Linked DNA regions of Macaca mulatta. The protein of the gene in region 3 purifies or fractionates together with the protein of the main gene of each other region. This does not show direct contact. Links are inferred from orthologs where the notes say so. Each region holds a gene or a part of one and is shown on either strand. Other genes may lie near its edges. The genes, in order: CPSF2, P4HA2, FIP1L1, CSTF2T and CPSF3.

Region 1 (4,231 bases), on a different chromosome or scaffold from region 3:
GCTCTGTCAACAGACATATAATGCATGCCACAAATGTACGTTTAAATTTCTTCGTGGTGACATGGAAAAGTGAAAAAGAAACAGGTGAATTTTAATGTATTTTATTTAACCCAGTAGAACCAAAATATTATTTCAACATATAATGTTGAATATTTTACATTTTCATATTAAATCTTCAAAATCCACTGTGTATTTTATATTTACAGCACATTTCAATTAGACTAACCACATCTGAAGTGCTCAGTAGCTACATGTGGCTAGTGACTACTATAACAGTGCAGATCTAGACTCCAGACCATAAAAATCAATGCTTTACACTATAGAGCATTGTGTTGTCACCCCTAAAGTGCAGGTTGGCACCATCGTATGTTTGTGTGCATGTCTCAGACTAAGTTTTAATAGTATTGCCAACCATTTATTCTCCCAGAATAAAAACTCAAGTCACCTTCTTACCATTAACTTAGCAGTCAGCAGGTGAATCCCATTTGACATTTACTTAGTGTCTCTCTGACCTCCTTTATGTCCTGCCTCCATGGAGGCCCTCATTGCCTTACCTGAATGATTGCCAATTTCCTTTCATCTAGTTTTTCTGTTCCCAGTTGATCCTCTATATAGCTGTCAGAGACCATCCTAAAAAAACAAATACCCTCCTGCTCACTCCTTGCACAAAATATCCACTGGATTCCTGCTAACTACTGAATAAAATCTAAACTCCCTATTGGAAATCAAGATCCTTCACAAGCTGATCTTAACCTACCTCTTGCTTCACCAATCACTCATGCACTAAATGCTCAAGCAGGTTGATTATCCCACTCTCCCTAAGTATGCTAAAGCTTCTCAAAGCTCTATATTCCTGTACTGAATCCCGAAATTACCTTCTCCTTTTGAGCTCAGCAAATTCCTTTTGATGCTACATGACCCAACTCACATATTTACTCCTTTATAAAGCCTTTTTGTTGCCCTAACCCAAGTTATTTTGTTATAAAGCGGGCACATAAAGTATTTGAATGGATTTTCAATGTATAGAGGAGTAAAAGTGATCATCGTTGTATATCCAATACCCAATATCTCACAGTTACTTGCCCTCTCAATAATGATCGTGCATGTTGCCGGGCGCAGTGGCTTGCGCCTGTAATCTCAACACTTTGGGAGGCCGAGGAAGGCCGATCGCTTGAGCTCAGGAGTTCCAGACCAGCCTGGGCAACATGGCAAAACCCCATTTCTACTAAAAACGCAAAAAAGTAGCCGGGCGCGGTGGCTGCGCTGGTGACCCCAGCTACTTGGGAGGCTGAGGTGGGAGGATTGCTTGAGCCCGGGAGGCGGAAGTTGCAGTGAGCTGAGATGGCACCACTGCACTCCAGCCTGGGGGACAGAGCGAGACCCCGTCTCAAATAATAAATCAGCTGGGCGCGGTGGCTCACGCCTGTAATCCCGGCACTTTGGGAGGCCGAGGCGGGCGGATCATCCTGGCCAACAAGGTAAAACCCTGTCTCTACTAAAACTACAAAAATTAGCCGGGCGTGGTGGTGCGCGCCTGTACTCCTAGCTACTCGTGACTCTTGAGGCAGGAGAATCACTTGAACCCGGGAGGCAGAGGTGGCAGTGCCTCGAGAATCGTGACACTGTACTCCAGCCTGCGCAACAGAGCGAGATTCCTTCTCAAAAATAAAAAATAAAAAATCATGACCGTGCATGTTGATGACAACTAAGGTGAACTAAGCAAAATCCAAGGGAAAACAGAGGAGTTTGGGTTAGCCCTGGAACTCACTGAGTGGGGAAGTCTCTTTCCTGTCAGTTGAGGGAAAGCAGCAATTTCATACTGGGGCTGCAAGGCCGGGCATGGTGGCTCACGCCTGTAATCCCAGCATAGGCCAAAATGGGAGGTTCTCTTGAGCCCAGGAGTTCGACACCAGCCTGGGCAACATAGTGAAACCCCGTCTCTATTTAAAAAAAAAAAAAAAAAGAAGAAGAAAAAAGAAAGGAAAAAAAGGGGTTAAAGGGATTGTAAAATTAAAAATTAGGGGATGGGTATAAATGATAGCTCAGGTTCGCCTGGTCACAGGAGGCCAGACTTGCCGGGGTTACAGTCTGACCTCTTGTTTTCTAAAGAGCACGTAAAACAGTACGAAGTCAAAAAAGAATTATAACTTCACAGTGATAGTGGAAGCGCTGGGGGGGCAATGGCGGGAGGGCGCGAAGGGCCGAGACCCTTTTAGTACAGCGTGGTACAAACATCCTAAAGGTCTCTGGAGTCGATGAACTAAAAGGACGCCTACGCGGTGCCCAGAGCTTAGTAACCTCGTGGTCTCTCAACCCAAAACGACGGGAAGAGCCCGAGCGGGGGAGGCTGAGAACGCCGTAGCCACGAGGCTAAGCAGCTAAAGCTGGCGTCGGCTTAACTCCTCCAGCGCCAAGAGATGAAAGGGTAAGCAGAGGGAAGCAGAAAGGAGGAAAGAAGATCCCGGGAGGGAACCGTACGAGCTGCCGCAAAACAGCTGGGAGCTTGAAACCCATGGAGAAGTCACTTCTCTTTCCCTCGCTGACCACTTCTGCCAGGAACGACAGGGACAGTCGCAGCCGAAGCGGCAGGGGCGAGTCCTTGGGGGAGACCGGGTCGGAGTCGGGGCCCGGCGCTCCCGGAGGGCCAGTGACGCCGCCTTCCCCCGCCAGAGGCTTACTCCTTTCTCCCGCCCTCACTTGCCTCGTCAGGCCTCCCCCAACGCCGTCCACTGCCCTTCCCAACCCCTAAGCGAATCCAGGTTCAAGAGGTGGAAAAGCCGATGCTGGCTTAGCAGCGCGGGGCACTACCGGCCGGCAGAAGCCCCCCCAGCGGCGGCCGCCATTTTGGAGCTGGAGGCGAGCGGTGTAAACGAGGAGGACCCAGGGCGAGACCATCTCCGGGGGGGTGGGCACGGGGCTGTGGGAAGGCGACGGCGCTCATACCTGCACGCCTCGTCTGAGTGTAGCGAAATTGTATTCAGAAATTATTGATAATGTTTGGAAGCTAAAAAAAAAAAAAAAGGAGTCAACCTTGAGGAGGAAGAAGTAGTATGATTTGCTGGCGTCACCCCTCTGCTCCGTGCCGGCGCGGCGAATGGCAGGTCCCGAGGTCGCAGCTTCCACTGGCGCGGGTGGCTGAGTTGCCCTTGGTCTCGGGGTCCCTGTTGGCACTGAGGCTGCAGGTGGGTCTGGGGAGCCTGGGGGGCCGCCGCGCCGCGGATCACGGCGAGGGTGACGGGGAGGGTTCTAGGCAGGCCCTCGGTGCTGTGCGTGTGTGGAGGGGTGGTCTGAGCTTCCCCGGGGCTTCCGAGCGAAGGTGACGGGAAAGGAAAATGGAGTTTTCTTCGGGTGGAGGATGGGATTTCCGGGCCGGAGCTTTTGGAATGGGTTTTCTGAGGCTGTTATAACAGGAAAACGTCCGTAGAGATGTGACCCAGTGACCGCCCGCTAGCCGGTATCCCATGCCTGGCCTGAAGCAGGGAAGACGCTGGCTGCCTCCCCTCCCCAAGCAGCTTACGTTCATATAAGTCCTAGCCTTCTGTCTCCTCGCTAACCTCGCTCTCTTCCAAACCGCAAATCCTCTTGAGCCGACACCGTTGCACCAAAATGATGCGCTTACCCTTTTGGTTTGCTTTTTTATTTTTATTTTTGAGACAGAGGTTCACTCTTGTCACCCAGGCTGGAGTGCAATGGCGCAATCTCCGCTCACTCCAACCTCCGCCTCCCGGGTTCAAGCGATTGTCCCGTCTCAGCCTCTCAAGTAGCTAGGTTTACAGGCGCCCGCCACCACACCCGACTAATTTTTTGTATATTTAGTAGAGACGGGGGTTTCACTATGTTGGCCAGACTGGTCTCGAACTCCTGATCTCGTGATCCAACCGCCTCAGCCTCCCAAAGTGCTAGTATTACAGGCGTGAGCCAGCACACCTGGCCGACCTTGCCTTTTAAAAGAAAAACGTATGGCCAGGCGCGGTGGCTCACGCCTGTAATCCCAGCACTTTGGAAGCCCGAGGTGACCGGATGAAGAGGTCAGGAGTTCGAGACCAGCCTGGCCAACAGTGAAACCCCGTCGCTACTTAAAAATACAAAAATTAGCCGGGCATGGTGGCACGTGCCTGTAGTCCCAGCTACTCGGAAGGCTGAGGCAAGAAAATCACTTAAACCTGGGAGGCAGAGGTTGCAGTGAGCTGTAGTTGTACCACTGCACTCCAGCCTGGGCCACAGAGTGAGA
Region 2 (3,584 bases), on a different chromosome or scaffold from region 3:
CTTCTCATCCAAGGGCGTGACAGGTCTCTCCATTTATTTATATCTTTTTAAGTTTTCTTCATATAAGCCTTGCACATTTCTTAAGTTTAGTCCCAGGTAGTTTCTTTGTTACTGTTAATTTACTTTATTTCTTCATTAGTATTTTAACTGGTTACATTATTATATTAGTTTACTATTCTATGCCAAACTGTTGATTTTAAAAATATATTTCATAGTAAGAGCTAATGTTTACTGAGTTCTTAACTGTGGCAGGAACTTCTAAATGCTTAACATATATATTAACTATGTCACAGTTATGAACAGCTGCTCATAACGGTGTCACTGTCTCTGTTTTGCCTATGAAAAAGCAAACTTATGCAGATTGCAGCTAGTGGTTGAATTTACTTATTCCTTTTTTGGTTTTTAGCTGATTCTCTTTGGTTTCCTGGATAGCATTAACACCTGGAAATAAGGAAAATTTTATTTTCTCATAATACTTGTAGTTCCTTTGTTTTTATAATCTTATTGAATCGCCCAGAACTTCTAGAGCATAATTACGAAGAATAGGAATCCTTGTCTCATTCCTGAACTTCCTGGGAATTCCTATGGTATTTTACTGCCAAGTATGCAGTTGGCTGTTGGTTTTGTTTTACGATTATTCTTCTGTTTCTAGTTCATAAAAGATTTGCTCCCCATTTGACATCTTTCAAAGAGATCTACTTGCTGCCATACCCCATCACTGATGATTGGGAGGGAGGATTTAGCTGGATTCTCTATTGCTCTGCTCCTAATAGAATTGTAGTGGCTGAGGTGACCAGGAGGCCTGACGCTCATGGAGAGACCTGAAATAGGTTCCTATCCTGGCCCCTGGACCTCATCTTAGAACACCTTGGCTTGAGGTACTAGGACATCTAGGGCTTTGAGTCAGTGGTTGGCATCATCAATGTGCCTGAGGGAGGGGGCTAGCCAGATGTATGGAGAATGGGGACTAGGACTCCCCTTACTACTCAGCTCCAGAGTCCTCCAGGAAAGAAAACTACTTTGCTGGTTGTGCCAGGATTTCCTGGGAGATTTCTTACCTGTTCTTCAGTTCCAGACACTGAGAACATTTCTGTGTGCATGTGTGCATGTGTGCATATATGTGTGGCTGGCCAAGGGGTAGTATTGGGAAAACATGTATTTGAATAGAAGCCATGTGAAGAGCCAAACAAGGATGGCAAACATGTTTGGCTCTTCACATGGCTTCTATTCAAAGATAAGCTGACCCCTCCTTTCTGGAGACTGTGAGAGACAGATGCTAGTCTGGCTTTGAAGTAGAGCCAATGAGCTTAATTTGGCCTGTGGGGAATGCCTGGCAGCTGTCTATGGGGTCTCTGGCCTGCTTTCAAAATAGCCCTGTGTTTCCCCTGGGGCAGAGCACAGCTGCTCAGAGCCTCTTTGTGGGTGTCAGGCCAATGCTGAGGCACAGATGTTTGGATGGGGTCTGGTTGTGGCTGCAGTTTTCAGGGAAGGACTGACATACGCTGGAGCTCAGGAAGGGCCGTGAGTAGGAGTTTGGGAGCCGTCTGTCCTGCTTGCGCTGGCCATCTTACCAGATCATGCTATAGCAGCACAGTGTCTAGGTTGGTCCATCTCACCCGCTTACTAGCCTTCTGGTCCATTTACTCCTCTCCATTCCGTCTGCCACCACCTGGCCTGGGCCACCATCATCTCTTGCGCTGACCTCTGCCGTGGCCTCACTAGCCTCCCAGTCCCCACTCTGGCCCCTTATTAGTCAACTCTCCATGAGTTATTCACAGTGATCCATTTTACATTCAAATTTTGAGTGTCCCTCCCCTGCATGAAGCCTTCCCCATTTCTCGTTGGCCACAAGGTTGCATCTAGTCCCTAGCTCCTGCGTGTCTCTTCAGCCTATTTTACTACTTCCCTTAACCTTTAATCCACACCTACTGCCACACCCATTTTCATTCCCAGGCCTCTGGATTGCTGCTCCTTCCCTGTTCCTGTAATGTTTCTCTACTTGGATAACTCATGTTAACCCTTCAGGCCTCAGCTAGGTGGTCTCCTCCCCTAGGAAGCTATTCTTGACACTATTCCCTGAGCTTCCACAGGACATTAAGTTCACCCATGCTGTGCTGCAGTTACCTGGCTGGTTTTCTGCTTTCCCCACTCGACTGAGTTGTAAGAGTGCAGGGGCCATGTCTCAGTTACCTAGCATAGTGCCAGGCACAAAGTAGGCACTCATCAATATTTATTAAAATCAAGGGGAAGTGTGTTGGGGTGGGAGTACCTGGGCCTGTGGCTGCACCCATGTGAGGTCATTAGGACAGTCCACAACTGAAGCACATGGACCTTTGCCATGTTGGCTGACTCTGGGCAGCGAGTCCCTCCTGGGGTTTCACTAAGCCTGTCTGTGGAGACTGGGGGAGTGAAGTAGATGAGGGGAGTGTGTTTGTAGTGTGTACATATGTGAGTGGGTGACTTCCAGGCAGTGGTTCACTTATTTTAACTCACAGAATCTTTTCCTGGTTTTATCATCTGACTTTTAAGGATCCCAAGGGAGTGAAAACTGTGCCATCTGTCTTTGCTTCTTGAGGCTGTGGGAACCCAGTGTGAGGTGGTACAGCAGGAGAGTGTTTGGATGGGTTTCTTGGCAGAGGAGCCCACTGAGGTTCAGAAGGATGGTGGAACTTGACCAAGTTGAGAGAAGTACGTAAGGCGGAGGCTCAGGGATAGTGGCACAGTCTGAATATGGTGGGAGTAGCTAAGCTCAGGCTGTGCTCAGGCAGGAGTGGTATGTGTGCCTGGCAAGGAAAGGGGCTAGCCAGGCAGATGCATGGATGGATGAAGCAGGCATAATTCTGCAGGCAATGCAGACCTGGGGAGGAGAAGGGATGAGCAGTGACCGAGCAGGGCAATAGCCAGGAACTGATTGCAGATTGGGAATGTGGAGGCCTCAGACTTTTGCCCTCACCTGGCCTGCAGCATCTTGGGGCCTTGGCTAGAGCCATTGGCTGCAAAGCTTCCTCCACTAGCATGACAGCAAATGTGGTCCCAGTGCTTTCTGGGAAAATACTCAAGGCAAAACAAACAAATCAAGTATTCCTTCTCCTCCTTCCTTCTAGCTTGCACGAGCCACTGTTCGTGATCCCAAGACAGGAGTCCTCACTGTCGCCAGCTATCGGGTTTCCAAAAGGTAAACAAAGAGCAGGGGTTGGTAGCTGCTCAAGTCTCAACTTCAGGACTTCTCAGTGCCTACCCTAGGAATGGGTGGCTTGCCTTTTCCTGCCTGCTGGCGACTCCTCACCCCTTGTTGCAGCAGGTACCCTGTACTGCCTGTTCGTGCTGGCCCTGACTCTGGGGACAGAGTGCAGGACCTCATGGAAGCCTGCCCTTCCATCTTCTTTTCTCTGCTCTTTTCTTTTTACCCAGCTCCTGGCTAGAGGAAGATGATGACCCTGTTGTGGCCCGAGTAAATCGTCGGATGCAGCACATCACAGGGTTAACAGTAAAGACTGCAGAATTGTTACAGGTACAGATAGTCCCTGGGACTGTAGGAGTTGGGAAGTGGGTATTTTTGGCTAGATGGTCTCACAAGGTGTCCA
Region 3 (3,584 bases):
CGTTTTTTTTAAAGAAAACAAAAAAGTCTCCAATTCTGTTGATAAAGATTAGAGTATTATCTACAATGAGAGCTTAATCTGTTGCCACTAACTTTTCTATCCTACAAACACGTATTACAACTCAAAATGAAATCACAACATATAGCAAAGAACAGTTTTACTTGGCATTTGTTAGTATAATAGGCTATAAATTCACATGCTTGCAAAAGTGGAGATAAAACAACAATCAGCAAATTTGTAAGTCACCAGGAAGCTGAAGGTTTGGAAAAAAGGTAGCTATTTCCACTTTAATCTTGTCCCTTGAGTAGTGGTATGGGAGCAGACTCAAGAACAAAAAATGAGAGCAACCAAGGATAATTTACTAAAATTCACCTTAAAAAGATTGAATCTGCCATCTTGGATCTCTGCACCTGGTGTAACTTCCATAGTACAGTCTTCGGCCTAAGTTAAATAACATATTCCCCATTAAGATACCACATAATATTTAATTAATAGGCCATATAAAGACAAACTAGCTGTGGCTAGTCTGTGATTTGAAAGTAAGAACATCAGATAATCATTAATACAAAACTCTAAAAGGGAGGGAAGGGAAAAACAAACATGGTAAACAAAATGGAATTTTTAAACTATCGTATATCATTTAACCACTTTTATAGGGAAGTGATTTATTTGGGGAGTAAAAGTGGGACGGTAGACAAGCCAAGGGTATTCCGGAGTATTTCTTAATTACCGTAATTTTATTTGTAGTAGAAGTTACTGGTATAACTTCAAGTCCCATTCGTATCCTTTTTTGTTTTTCACAGTAAGCTTTCCAGGTATCTTCATTAAACCCATAATTAAAATAATCAGAAAGATCAGCACCTAAAGATAAAACACATCTTTAGTGTACAAATATTTCAGCTCTATTTTTATGCAGCATCAAAAATATACTAAACTATAAAAATATAAATTTAGACTTCTATCAGTTATCACTCTATCATTTATGGTGGCAAAAAGACCATAAAATTTTTGATCAAATTATTTCCTTTAGAAATGTCATTATAATAAAGTCTACATTTTAAGTAATATGAGGCCGCCAGTAAGATTTAATAATCCAAGTCACTATTACTCATCATTTGCTTAAGACAATTAAAATTATAATGAAAAAATAAAATTCTAAATTGATGCTCAAAAAATTTTCTGATGACTTCACACTAAAAATATTGAAATTAATATAATCCACAACAGTCTTACCAGGTTTACGCCATGGTTTATCTTCAAAAGAATCCAAATCTACCTCTAAAAGTGGAACTCCATTAATGCTTCCAGGTGCATCAAGGTCTACTCCTTTGACTTTTGTTCCTGTTTTATAAAATTACAAAATGAAGGAGCTACACTTGCAAGAAGCTGGGACATACCATAGACAAACAGAAGATATAAACACCTTTTTACTATTCCTGGCACACATACACACACAAACAGAAAACAAACATTTTTTTACTATCCCTGGCAAAAAACCTGGCAAGCATTCCAAACAAAGCAGAGCCTAAAATATGTGCTACTGGACTATTTACAGAAAAAATTTACCAGTCCCTGTGATGTATGGTCAAAAATTACCTTTAAAAAGAGCTATTATATTATCACCTTGGCCAGGCGCAGCAGCGCACACTTGGAATCCCAACAGTCTGGGAGGCCAAGGCAGGCAGATCACTTAAGCTCAAAAGTTCAAAACCAGCCTGAACAACATGGCGAGACCCGGTCTCTACATAAAAACACAAAAATTGGCCAAGCATGGTGGTGCACGCCCACAGTCCCAGCTATTTGAGAAGGTGAAGTGGGAGGATGGTTTGAGCCTGGAAGATGGAGGGTGCAGTGAACTAAGATTGCGCCACTGTACTCCAGTCTGGGTGACAAAGTCAGACTCTGTGTCCCACTAAAAAAAGAGTGATTAAGACCTATTTAAGATATGTGCCTTATTTCTCTACTGATGCAACAGAAAATACAAACTTTACCTGTAGTTCCATAAACTCTTCCTCCTGTCTTGATGTTAAGATTTACAGGTGCTGTACCATAACTCCTAAAAACAAACAAAAAACCAAAAATTATCCTGAAAAGCTTAAACAAAGCAGTAATATTTCTATTTTTATTTTTCTATTTTTTATAATTTCTATTTTTATTTTTTAAATTTTGGATAGATGAGATCTCACAGCATGTCATCCAGGCTGGTCTCGAACTCCTGAGCTCAAGCAATCCTCCCGCCTTGGCTTCCCAAAATGCTGAGATTACAAGAGTGAGTCACCGTGCCCAGCTAATACACATTTTAAAAAACATTTTAAACTAGTTTCTAAAGTCACCTGCTCAATAAAAGGCAAAAACATTAAAAAAAAAACTGACTTGTTTCCATTTCAAAAATCTCTTTGCCACTAACTCAACATTCTACTGTAACAAACTTCACAAGAAATAAGGCTAAGAAGGGAAACATAGTTTATACCCCTTTTCTTCATTTCCTTGCCTGCCAGTTATTACACATACAGCAATCTTAAGCATAAGTAAAATTCCTCCAACTTGTTGTTAAATCCAGTGGCCTTTCAGTTCTTACCACAGTTGATATTGTTAATAAATCCTTTTTCAACCATTCATGGAGTTCATAATAGAAATTTATTGTCATGAAATTCAAAAATAAGTCTAGCATGAAAGCAGAACAGTGTTTACCGGTGGTGGGTGGTTAATGACCAAGAGGAAAAATGAGAGAAACTTCTAGGATGCCAATTATGTTTCGTATCTTGATCTGGTTGTAGTTACATGAATGCATATATTTGAAAAAAGTATTAAGCTGCACCTTTTTAGATGTAATATAATACACAGTGATAAAGAAAAAAATTTCTGAAGTTGGACCAATCCACATTCAAATGTTTTGTCAGTTGTTAGTGTAATCTTGGCCAAGACATCTAAGACTCGTATATAATTATTTGAATATTTCATTGCATTTATACTTGTATAAATGAGCCTCATATAAATTTTCTGTAAGGGGTTACAGATAGTTCTTTACTTTTTTTATATAATGGATTCTTATATATGCGTAGTATTATCAAATATACTAATTAAAATAGACTTTTCTGTTACTAGGGAAATTAGAAGAAAACAGGAATGGGCAAAGAAGGACCAACTCCCACTGAACAAAAAGATATCAGTAAGACGGCAGGCGATGGCTCACACCTGTAATCCCAGCACTTTGGGAGGCTGAGACGGGCAAATCACGAGGTCAGGAGATCGAGACCATCCTGGCTAATACGGTGAAACCCCCCCTCTACTAAAAAATAGAAAAAATTAGCCAGGCGTGGTGGCGGGCACCTGTAGTCCCAGCTACTCAGGAGGCTGAGGCAGGGCAATGGCATGAACCCAGGAGGCAGAGCTTGCAGTGAGCCGAGAACACGCCACTGCACTCCAGCCTGGGCCACAGAGCGAGACTCCGTCTCAAAAAAAAAAAGATACCAGTAAGACCTCAAGTCATAGGTATTTTCAATGATATATTTCTCACATTACATTCATGTGGCATATTTGGTTCTTTTCTCTCAGAAGTTCAGCCATCTGGACTTTAGATTCAC
Region 4 (4,081 bases), on a different chromosome or scaffold from region 3:
GGCTGGGATAAATGAAGCGACAGTAAACCAGGTGTACTCCTTGATTTTTCAGGTAACACAACTTTAGAAAAAAACAATTCTAATACAAGTTTAACCTTATCCTGTTAACTCTAATATTTCAAAAATAATTCTAAAACACTAAGACAATGCTTATCCTATTGCCTCCAATAGGATTTTGTATTTTAAATGGTTTACCAAAAAATGTATCTTATACTTTTGGGTAAACTTTATTTTGTTATACAACCAAAAATCTTAAAACCATCTTAGTACATTAACGTTTTAACAGGTCAACTTTTAGTCTTTATGAGCAGTTTTCACAAAGTTTTACTCAACATTTAAAAAATGTAGTTAACATACTGTAGACACTTCAATATTGCTGCTTATTCTTTGTAATCTTATTTGGCATAATGTTGTCATGTTCAGAGTTATTTTACAGTAACTTAAAGTGAACAGACACACTCCCTCCTCCCCCCACCCTCAATTAAAAATAAAAAAGGAAAACAGAAAGAAAGAAAAAGAACAAAAAGTAAGATTAGGTTCTAGGAGGAGGGAAACCCTAATCCAAGTGTGGGGATGCAGAAGTCAGCTTTTTGCACCCATTCTCCATGCTACAGAATAAACTTTGAGACTACAGCCAAATATTTTCTAAAACCTTTCAAGAAGTTCCAGTGGATTTCTGGATTTGTTCCTTTAAAATCAGGATACTCTGCCTTTGCTCAGGGGGCAGCATGGCAATCTGATCTGCAGTTAGTTGAAGAACCTGCATGATCAAAGCCGCCTTTTCCTGATCCTGTGGAGTGACCTGGCTCTGCCCAGGACTAAAACTGCTAGGCTGGCTTCCACCTTGCTTGCTTGCCCCCTGTATGCCTCCTCCTTGTATACCCACTCCTTGTATGCCTGCCCCCTGCATCCCTCCTCCTTGTATGCCTGCCCCCTGCATGCCTGCTCCCTGCATGCCTGCTCCTTGTATGCCTGTACCCTGCATACCAGCTCCAGGATTCCCCACCCCTGAAATGCCGGGGACCTGTCTGGGTCCCTGAGGAGGGCCACCTGCCCCTATATTAATGGGACCAGGACCCTGAATTCCACCAGTCATAGGACCTCTTGTACTGGGGACAGGGCCCCTCATCTCCAATCCTCTTGCATCCATGCCTCTTGCTTCCATCCCTCTGGTTTCCATGGCACAGGTCTCCATTCCTCTCCTCTCCATTACACGTGTCTCTAAGACCTCAGTTTCCATGGCGCGAGTCTCCATCGCTCGAGAATCTCTACTACCTCTACCATCCATAGGTAGACCCCTTTGATCTATCATGGGGCCTCTGGGCTCTCCAATTAGCAGTCTGGGATCTCCTAATGGCCCTCCCCTCATCTCATGTGAGGAAGGGCCACGAGTGTCATGACCAGAGGCATGATGCATGGGGGGACCCTGATGGGGTGGACCCAGATAACCTCTGGGCTCCACTTCTCCAGTGACTGAAAGCAAAGTCCCTCCACGTGGGTCATTTGGAGCATCTCCTAACAGTCCTCGAGGAGGTAGACCACCAGGAGTCATGGGTCCACGAGGTATAGGAGCTCTAGGATCTGACATCTGCACTTGTCCCCGCTCTAAAGGCACTGGGCCAACCCCTGGCATTCCAAGTTGGGGCTGCATTGCTCCTCCAGGAGTTAAGGAACCAGGACCAGGTCCGGGAACTGCAGCTGGTATTGGCCCTGGAGCTGGAATTCCACCCTGGATAGGAGTCTGCATCAGAGGAGGAATGTCCTTCACAGGTCTTCTAGCCAAATGCTGAGGCTGAGGAGCTGGTGGATTCTGCTGGTTCAGCAGAACATTAGGTCCTGGGCAGAGCCCAGGGCCAGGGCCAGGACCAGGGCCAGGGCCAGGGCCAGAGACAGACACAGACTGAGATTTGCCTGGGATCAGTGGTGTGACATGTATCTTCCGATGAAGAATTTTCAGAGCAATCTCTGGATCCATGATTCTCATCACTACTTGCGCCTGCAACAGCGCATAAGCCAGTTGTGGATTTTGAAGTAACATGTTTCGAGCTTCCTGGTGGCTGTTTTGGACACAGAGCTTCATCTGCTTCATCAGCTCAAACATCTGCTCCGGGGGGAGACTGGCTACTGCTCTGGTAATCGATTCAGGGGCATCTTCTGGATCGATGGGATCCCCATAGGGTGAGTCAATAATGGGCGCTGCAGGCCCGAGGCTCTTTAACTCCTCCTTATTCTTTTCACTGGCAGCATTGTCCACCCGAAGCGCTCTGCCACTGAACTCCCGCCCATTGAGGTTCCGCATGGCACTAAGCGCGGTTTCCTGGTCTTGGTATTCGCAGAAGCCATAGCCCTTGGGTTTTCCCGTCTCTCTATCGTATACCAGCCGGAAACTGACAACAGAACCAACCTCCGAGAAAATGTCCTTTAACTGCTCCTCAGTTGCCTCATACGGAATGTTCCCCACGAACACGGAACGCAGTGATCGATCCATTGCCGGGTCTCTCACCGCCAAACTCGACATGATTCCGGTTGTGCACACTGCCGATAGCGGATTCTTCCAGGCGTCTGTCCTCTTGCGACCGACACTTCCGCTGAGCAACGGAAGCGGCTCTCAAGATCCGGGCAGAAACCTTACTAATTCGCTTGAATCGTTCTGCTTGCCTGTGGAACCTGCATCCCACTAACAAGTTATCTAATGCTTTAAGTCCCTGATCCTTCGTGGTTCTGTCAGCTTCTTATTACAGAGTCGCATGATTCCTTTCCCATTTCACCTTCCGCCGACTTTCTGTGGAGCCCCAACAGCCCCGCTACGACACCCTTGGTGCGAGATGACCACAGTAAAGATGGCCGCATAGACTTCACCATAGTAACTGGGAGGGGACTCCTCCCTTGACGTCAAAGGCGGTTTTGCTTCCGTTCCACCGGCGGGAAACCGCCAACCGAAAGCGGATTTAAGGCGGCATGTTTTTCGTTCTGACAAAGTATTTTCATGTGGCCTTTTATTATAGTATAGTTAAGCTAGATTTCAAATCACATTCCAGACTGAGGCAAAAGCGTAGTCGTTTCAAAGCACATTTGAGATTTGCCCCTTAAAGTAAAACAGTATTATATTTCCTTTTTAGAACAACGTTTTTGGAAATTAACTGACAAGAAATATAAACTGAAGCGTGTGCCTGCTGGACCCTGCCCCCGCTCTGTGGCTTCCTATAACCGCTGTTAATGGATGGGTGGCAGACCCTTCTAGGTTTTTTTGAGCACACGGGCAGCAGTCGTGCTATTCCTAATATTACGGTTTTCTTCCTTAATAATAACCGATTTCAGTATTAATTGGTGATTAAATAAATTAGTTATTAGCATTTTATGGCTTCAGAGTATGGAATAATGAAATTTACTTAACTATCCCTACATTGATTGGTTCTGATTTTTATTATATCATGCAGTGAATCCACCACTTCCATGAAGGGAAAAACAAATAGTGGTTGTCTTCTGCTGTTAGCTTTCCAGGCAGGAGTTAAAACATATTCACTGTGGGATTTCCTCGACTCCAATTCGAAGATAGAACTGAAACTTGGGGATGGCTAGGTAAATTCCCAAGGACAAGCAGCCGGAAAGAGGCAAAGTCAGGATTCTAACCCAGGTTGGTCTCGCATAGCTCCAGATCTACACTGCCTTACGCATATTGAATATTTGAAATGCAGCTAGTGTGATTGAGGAATTGAATTTTAAATTTCATTTTTTATTAATTTAAATATAAAAACTAATGTTCAGTAGGCTATTGGAAAACTTTTTTAGTATTTATGACAACTTGGGTATAAAATCTACTTTTGCAGTAATAAATTGTATTTTAAATAAAAATCATTTCACAGAACACTAAGATAAAACAAACAAACAAACAAAAAAAGAAATAAAAAGAAAGTACTTCCAGTCAAAATTTAACATTCCAGTTGAGGTATGCCATGCATGTAAGACACATGAAAGATTTTAATGATCAAATACCAAAAAATGTAAAAATAGCTCATCAATTTTATATTGTTTATAAGTTGAAATGTAATATTTTTGTATACTGGATTAAAAAATTATTTTG
Region 5 (4,077 bases), on a different chromosome or scaffold from region 3:
AATACATACACGGGACACTAGGTATCTCTACTAGGATCTCTCCCGGGACTTCATATTCAATATGCCAAACTGGTTTCCACCACATGCCCCCTACTTGCTCTGCTTTCTTCCTGAAATGCTTTGTCTTCAGATATTGATGTGGTTGGCTCCTTTGTATCATTTGGGTCTCAGTTCCAATGTCACCTTCTCAGATGCTTTCTCTTGACTACCTCCTCTAATTTGCCCTTCACAGCAAGCCGCAACCCAGCATCATGTTATCTTAATACTTACAACTACATGAAGTTATTGTATCCACTTATGTCTTGCTTCAGGCTACTAAATGAAAGCTTCCTAAGAACAGAGGCATTGTCCACCTTATTCACTGCTGTATTGCTACGTAAATCACAAAAAATACTTATTGAATGAATAAAACTCCTCAATTTTGAACCTTGGAAAGATTACGCTAAATGAAAGATGCCAGAGACAAAAGACTATGTATTGTATGATCGCACTTCTGTGAAATGTCCACAACAGGCAAATCTGTAGAGAAGTAGATTAGTGGTTGCTAAGGTCTGGAGAGGTAGTGGGGATTGTCCATGACTGCTAATGAATACAAGGTATCTTTTGGGAGTGATGAAAATGTTCTGGAATGAGAGAGGGGTGATGGTTGTATAACTCTATGTTAAGAACGACTGAGAGTTGTATGGTATATAAATTGTGAGTTGTATAGTATGTAAACTGTATCTCAATAAAGCTGTTATGAAACAACCGAACTCCCAAATTTACTCCAGAGTTGCCCCACTTCCTACACTCCTAGAGTGAAGAACACTACCCTTTCCCAACTGCCAAACTTAGGAATCCGAGTCATCATAACATCCTCTCTGCCCTGCCTTCCCTCCCCACAACCACCCTTCCAGATACAGCTGATCAGCCACAAAATCCTGAAGATCTCATTTGCGTACTCTCTCACACTCATGTCACTCACTACAGGCTCTGATCACCTAGACTTGGAATCTTTCAATGATATCTTACTGAACCTGCTCTACTCAATCCATCCTTTTATTCAGCTGCTACACTGCTGCCAGGAGTGATTTTCCTAAAACATAATTCCTCACAATATCCATGCTTGCTTAACAGCCTTTGCTGGCTCCCTGTAATTGACTATCTGATAAAGGTCCAAACTCCTATGTATATGAGGTGCTTCCTAAACTGGACCTCAACAGCCTGTCGCTTCATCTGCTAACTCAACTCTTTAGCTACAGCCATGAGGAATCTGGCCACAAGTTGTGGCCACTCTCACTTTCACATGTGCCACTTCCACTGCCTAGAACACCCTGGGCCCCCCAGTCTTCAACTCCTACTCATTCTTGAGGACTCAGCTCAAGCATCACATTTTTCAGGATGCATGAGGTATCCTTTTTTCCTCAATCTGTCAGAAATCCCTTTTCCATACTTTCACAGTGCTCAGTGCAATGCCTACCTGCCCTCTTAGATTAGCTATTATTTACAAAGCACCTACCGCGATCTTTACTCTTCAAGTTTTATCTCATTTCCACATGAGAAAACAGGTTTAGTGAGGTTGTTGTCCTACTAAGTGGTCAAGTAGATAACGTACTTCAGGTCTGACTTCAAAGTAATGGTCTCCTATTATACCAAAGTATCTCTCCAATACTTCCCACTGTGCACTGTAATTCTCTCCATAAGGGCGAGAGCAATTAACTGGGCCCTCCTTTGCATCTGTATCCCCACGTGTGGTGCTTGACACTTGACACTTGCTAAAGAATTGAGTTAGCAGATCAAGCGACAGTGTTTGCTCATCACAGGAAGACATGACAGGTGTGATCTAAGCAGAAGGAAACGGACTATGTCCCAAGCAGGTGCTCAATGAAGCCTTACTGAACGAATGTGTAAAGGAGATACTTTCTACCTTTTGGAAAGCGTATATTCATGTTGTGCCAACTAACATCTAACAATAAACATGTTGTGGGTTCGAAATGCTCATCTGTAGGAATCCAAGTTCCTACATCTCCCCTTCAGCATCTTGCATCTCCCCTTCAGCAGCATTCCCGACTGATGAGGACCATGTCCACTGAAAGGCCACTCTCCTTACGGACAGTCGAGGGCTGAGTTTTTGTCCCTAACACCTCTGCACTTTCTCCTCTCCAGCTTTACACCTTCCTTATTCTACTAGGACCTGAGCTGAGAAGATCGAAACTCACGGCACGTCCCTAATATTTTCTAACTTCTGGCACATGTGAAGCCCTGGTGTTAGGAAACAGACTTAATTCTTCCCTGCACCGCTGTAGCCTCATTCAGGTCCTCCTCTCATCCTGTCGATCATAAGCGTCACCGGCTCTCTCACGGCTTGCCCTGACGCGCAGAGATCCGTGCTTGTGCTAAGTGAAAACGCTTTTTAGCGTGTACGAAAAGCGGCCGGTGGCCCCGGAAAACTTTTTTTTTTCCGACTCCAACATACCCTCCCCTGAAACTGATAAAGAAGCAAAATCCCGTTCACTCTAGCAGGCCCCTTCCAATCAGTGGTCCTCCAACCCCTCGAGCCTGAGAAGCCTGGCCCGCAAGCGCGGACCAAAGGCAGGCTGCCGGGGACGGTGGGAGCGCGGGCGACGGAGGAGGCCAAAGTCTCCGGTTATCCCTCGCACCCCTCACAGCCCTGGGCCTCATTCCCTCTCTCGCTGGTCTCTTACAGAGGTCGGATCAGCAGCTGGTCGCTCTCCTCAGCAGGAATCGCAGACATCCCGAAAGTGTGAGGGCGAAGCGGGGGCGGGGAACAGGTCGCCGGGGTCTTCCTAAATTGGAAGGTAAATAAAGAAAGAAGAACCCCATCCACCAAGAGCACAACTTCCGTCACTCCGGAGCCCGCGGCACTAGACTCCTCCCCTCGACTTCCGGTTGGGGGACGTCCCTTGCGAAGCTTCCCACCACTCGGGGTCCTGGAACCGGGGGCGGGACGTCAGGACTGCGCCTGCGCTTAGTCTCGGAGGCGGGGCCCGGCGGACGTGGGCAGGAGCGTTGGAAAAGCCGGCGCTGGAGCGGGAACGGGAGTAGCTGCCTGGGTGCCGGAGGCCGCGGCGCTCCCACGCGGACCCCGAAGCCCGCAACCGGAGGATGGGCCCGCGGCTGCGAGGTGAGCGCCCAGCCCTCGTCCCACTCGGGGCCGAGCTCGCGGAGGCCTGACGGGAACACGGCCCCGAGAGCGGCGCGGACGGCCGGGAAGGATGGGTGGGGCCGCAGGGAGGGCGGGGGAGGGATGCCTGGGCTCCGGCTGCGTTCTCTGCGGGTCCGCGCTCCCGGGGCGCGGGTGGAGGCGCCTGGAACCGCGGGTCGGGCGTGGGCGTTGTGGACTGTAGCTTCCGGAGCCGCTGCCAGCCGGGAGAGGAGGCAAGGCGGGCAGCGCGGGCCGTTTCCCTGCCTCTTCCTCTGCCTCGTTTCGGCCGCCTCCCGCCTCTCAGGGTCGGGGTTGTCTGTCCCCTTCGCTGTCACATCCTCCGCACCCAGTAGGTGGAAGGTGCTCCATCACGGTGACAGACAGGTGCCAAGCAGGCTGGCGTCTGGGAGGAACTTTGGAGCCGGCTCTCCCTAGGCCCTGAGCTTGGCCCCATCCGTCCTTACCCTGGTGACCCTGGGCAGGTCACTGACTCTTCGGGCGCTTTGGCATCCTCGTTTGAAAGGGGCTGTTATCCTTCAGGCTTGCTGGTCAGTGAGGGTGAGAGGGATCTGTGCACCTAGCACCGTGCATGGCACGTGGTAGGCGTTTGGTACTTGGGAATTGCTGTTGGGGTGTCACAGACACCCCAGAAAGTTCTCGGCTTCAGTAAGCGCGTCCCCTGCCAGGCGCCCTGGCTGTGCAGAGAGGAGTCCCTGAGCTCCGCCTTTGACCAGCGTGCAGCTGGGAGAGTGAGATCAGAGACCACAGCAGATCGTGGCGCTGTGATCAGGGGTACACTGAAGCTGTGGGTCCCTGAGCCCAGCCTTGAGATCCCAGGAAGGCCTGCAGCCTGAAAGGGACCTTGAAAGGTAAGAGGTAGCCAAGTGCCTGAAAGGTGAAGGGTGTCCCGGGCGCTGCAAAGCAGGGGCGAC

The links.
Region 1: the proteins of FIP1L1 (region 3) and CPSF2 purify together in Homo sapiens (affinity purification with mass spectrometry; 7 studies listed by BioGRID and IntAct, with this or other methods). This does not show direct contact. The link is inferred for Macaca mulatta from reciprocal best matches to the Homo sapiens genes FIP1L1 and CPSF2.
Region 2: the proteins of FIP1L1 (region 3) and P4HA2 purify together in Homo sapiens (co-immunoprecipitation; 3 studies listed by BioGRID and IntAct, with this or other methods). This does not show direct contact. The link is inferred for Macaca mulatta from reciprocal best matches to the Homo sapiens genes FIP1L1 and P4HA2.
Region 4: the proteins of FIP1L1 (region 3) and CSTF2T purify together in Homo sapiens (co-immunoprecipitation; 3 studies listed by BioGRID and IntAct, with this or other methods). This does not show direct contact. The link is inferred for Macaca mulatta from reciprocal best matches to the Homo sapiens genes FIP1L1 and CSTF2T.
Region 5: the proteins of FIP1L1 (region 3) and CPSF3 purify together in Homo sapiens (affinity purification with mass spectrometry; 5 studies listed by BioGRID and IntAct, with this or other methods). This does not show direct contact. The link is inferred for Macaca mulatta from reciprocal best matches to the Homo sapiens genes FIP1L1 and CPSF3.

The regions. Positions count from the first base shown.
Region 1 is NC_133412.1:165,367,707-165,371,937, reverse strand, and holds the start of CPSF2 (cleavage and polyadenylation specificity factor subunit 2), read right to left. Parts: upstream 2,826-4,231; 5' UTR 2,702-2,825; exon of another isoform or gene 2,479-2,701; intron 1-2,478. UniProt on the Homo sapiens protein: Component of the cleavage and polyadenylation specificity factor (CPSF) complex that play a key role in pre-mRNA 3'-end formation, recognizing the AAUAAA signal sequence and interacting with poly(A) polymerase and other factors to bring about cleavage and poly(A) addition.
Region 2 is NC_133411.1:141,115,429-141,119,012, reverse strand, and holds part of P4HA2 (prolyl 4-hydroxylase subunit alpha-2 precursor), read left to right. Parts: intron 1-3,104; coding exon 3,105-3,175; intron 3,176-3,411; coding exon 3,412-3,511; intron 3,512-3,584. UniProt on the Homo sapiens protein: Catalyzes the post-translational formation of 4-hydroxyproline in -Xaa-Pro-Gly- sequences in collagens and other proteins.
Region 3 is NC_133410.1:80,109,876-80,113,459, forward strand, and holds part of FIP1L1 (pre-mRNA 3'-end-processing factor FIP1), read right to left. Parts: intron 2,057-3,584; coding exon 1,992-2,056; intron 1,342-1,991; coding exon 1,234-1,341; intron 862-1,233; coding exon 731-861; intron 442-730; coding exon 373-441; intron 1-372.
Region 4 is NC_133414.1:98,063,417-98,067,497, reverse strand, and holds CSTF2T (cleavage stimulation factor subunit 2 tau variant), read right to left. Parts: upstream 2,571-4,081; 5' UTR 2,519-2,570; coding exon 656-2,518; 3' UTR 543-655; downstream 1-542. UniProt on the Homo sapiens protein: May play a significant role in AAUAAA-independent mRNA polyadenylation in germ cells. Directly involved in the binding to pre-mRNAs.
Region 5 is NC_133418.1:115,401,146-115,405,222, forward strand, and holds the start of CPSF3 (cleavage and polyadenylation specificity factor subunit 3), read right to left. Parts: upstream 2,867-4,077; 5' UTR 2,735-2,866; coding exon 2,685-2,734; intron 1-2,684. UniProt on the Homo sapiens protein: Component of the cleavage and polyadenylation specificity factor (CPSF) complex that plays a key role in pre-mRNA 3'-end formation, recognizing the AAUAAA signal sequence and interacting with poly(A) polymerase and other factors to bring about cleavage and poly(A) addition.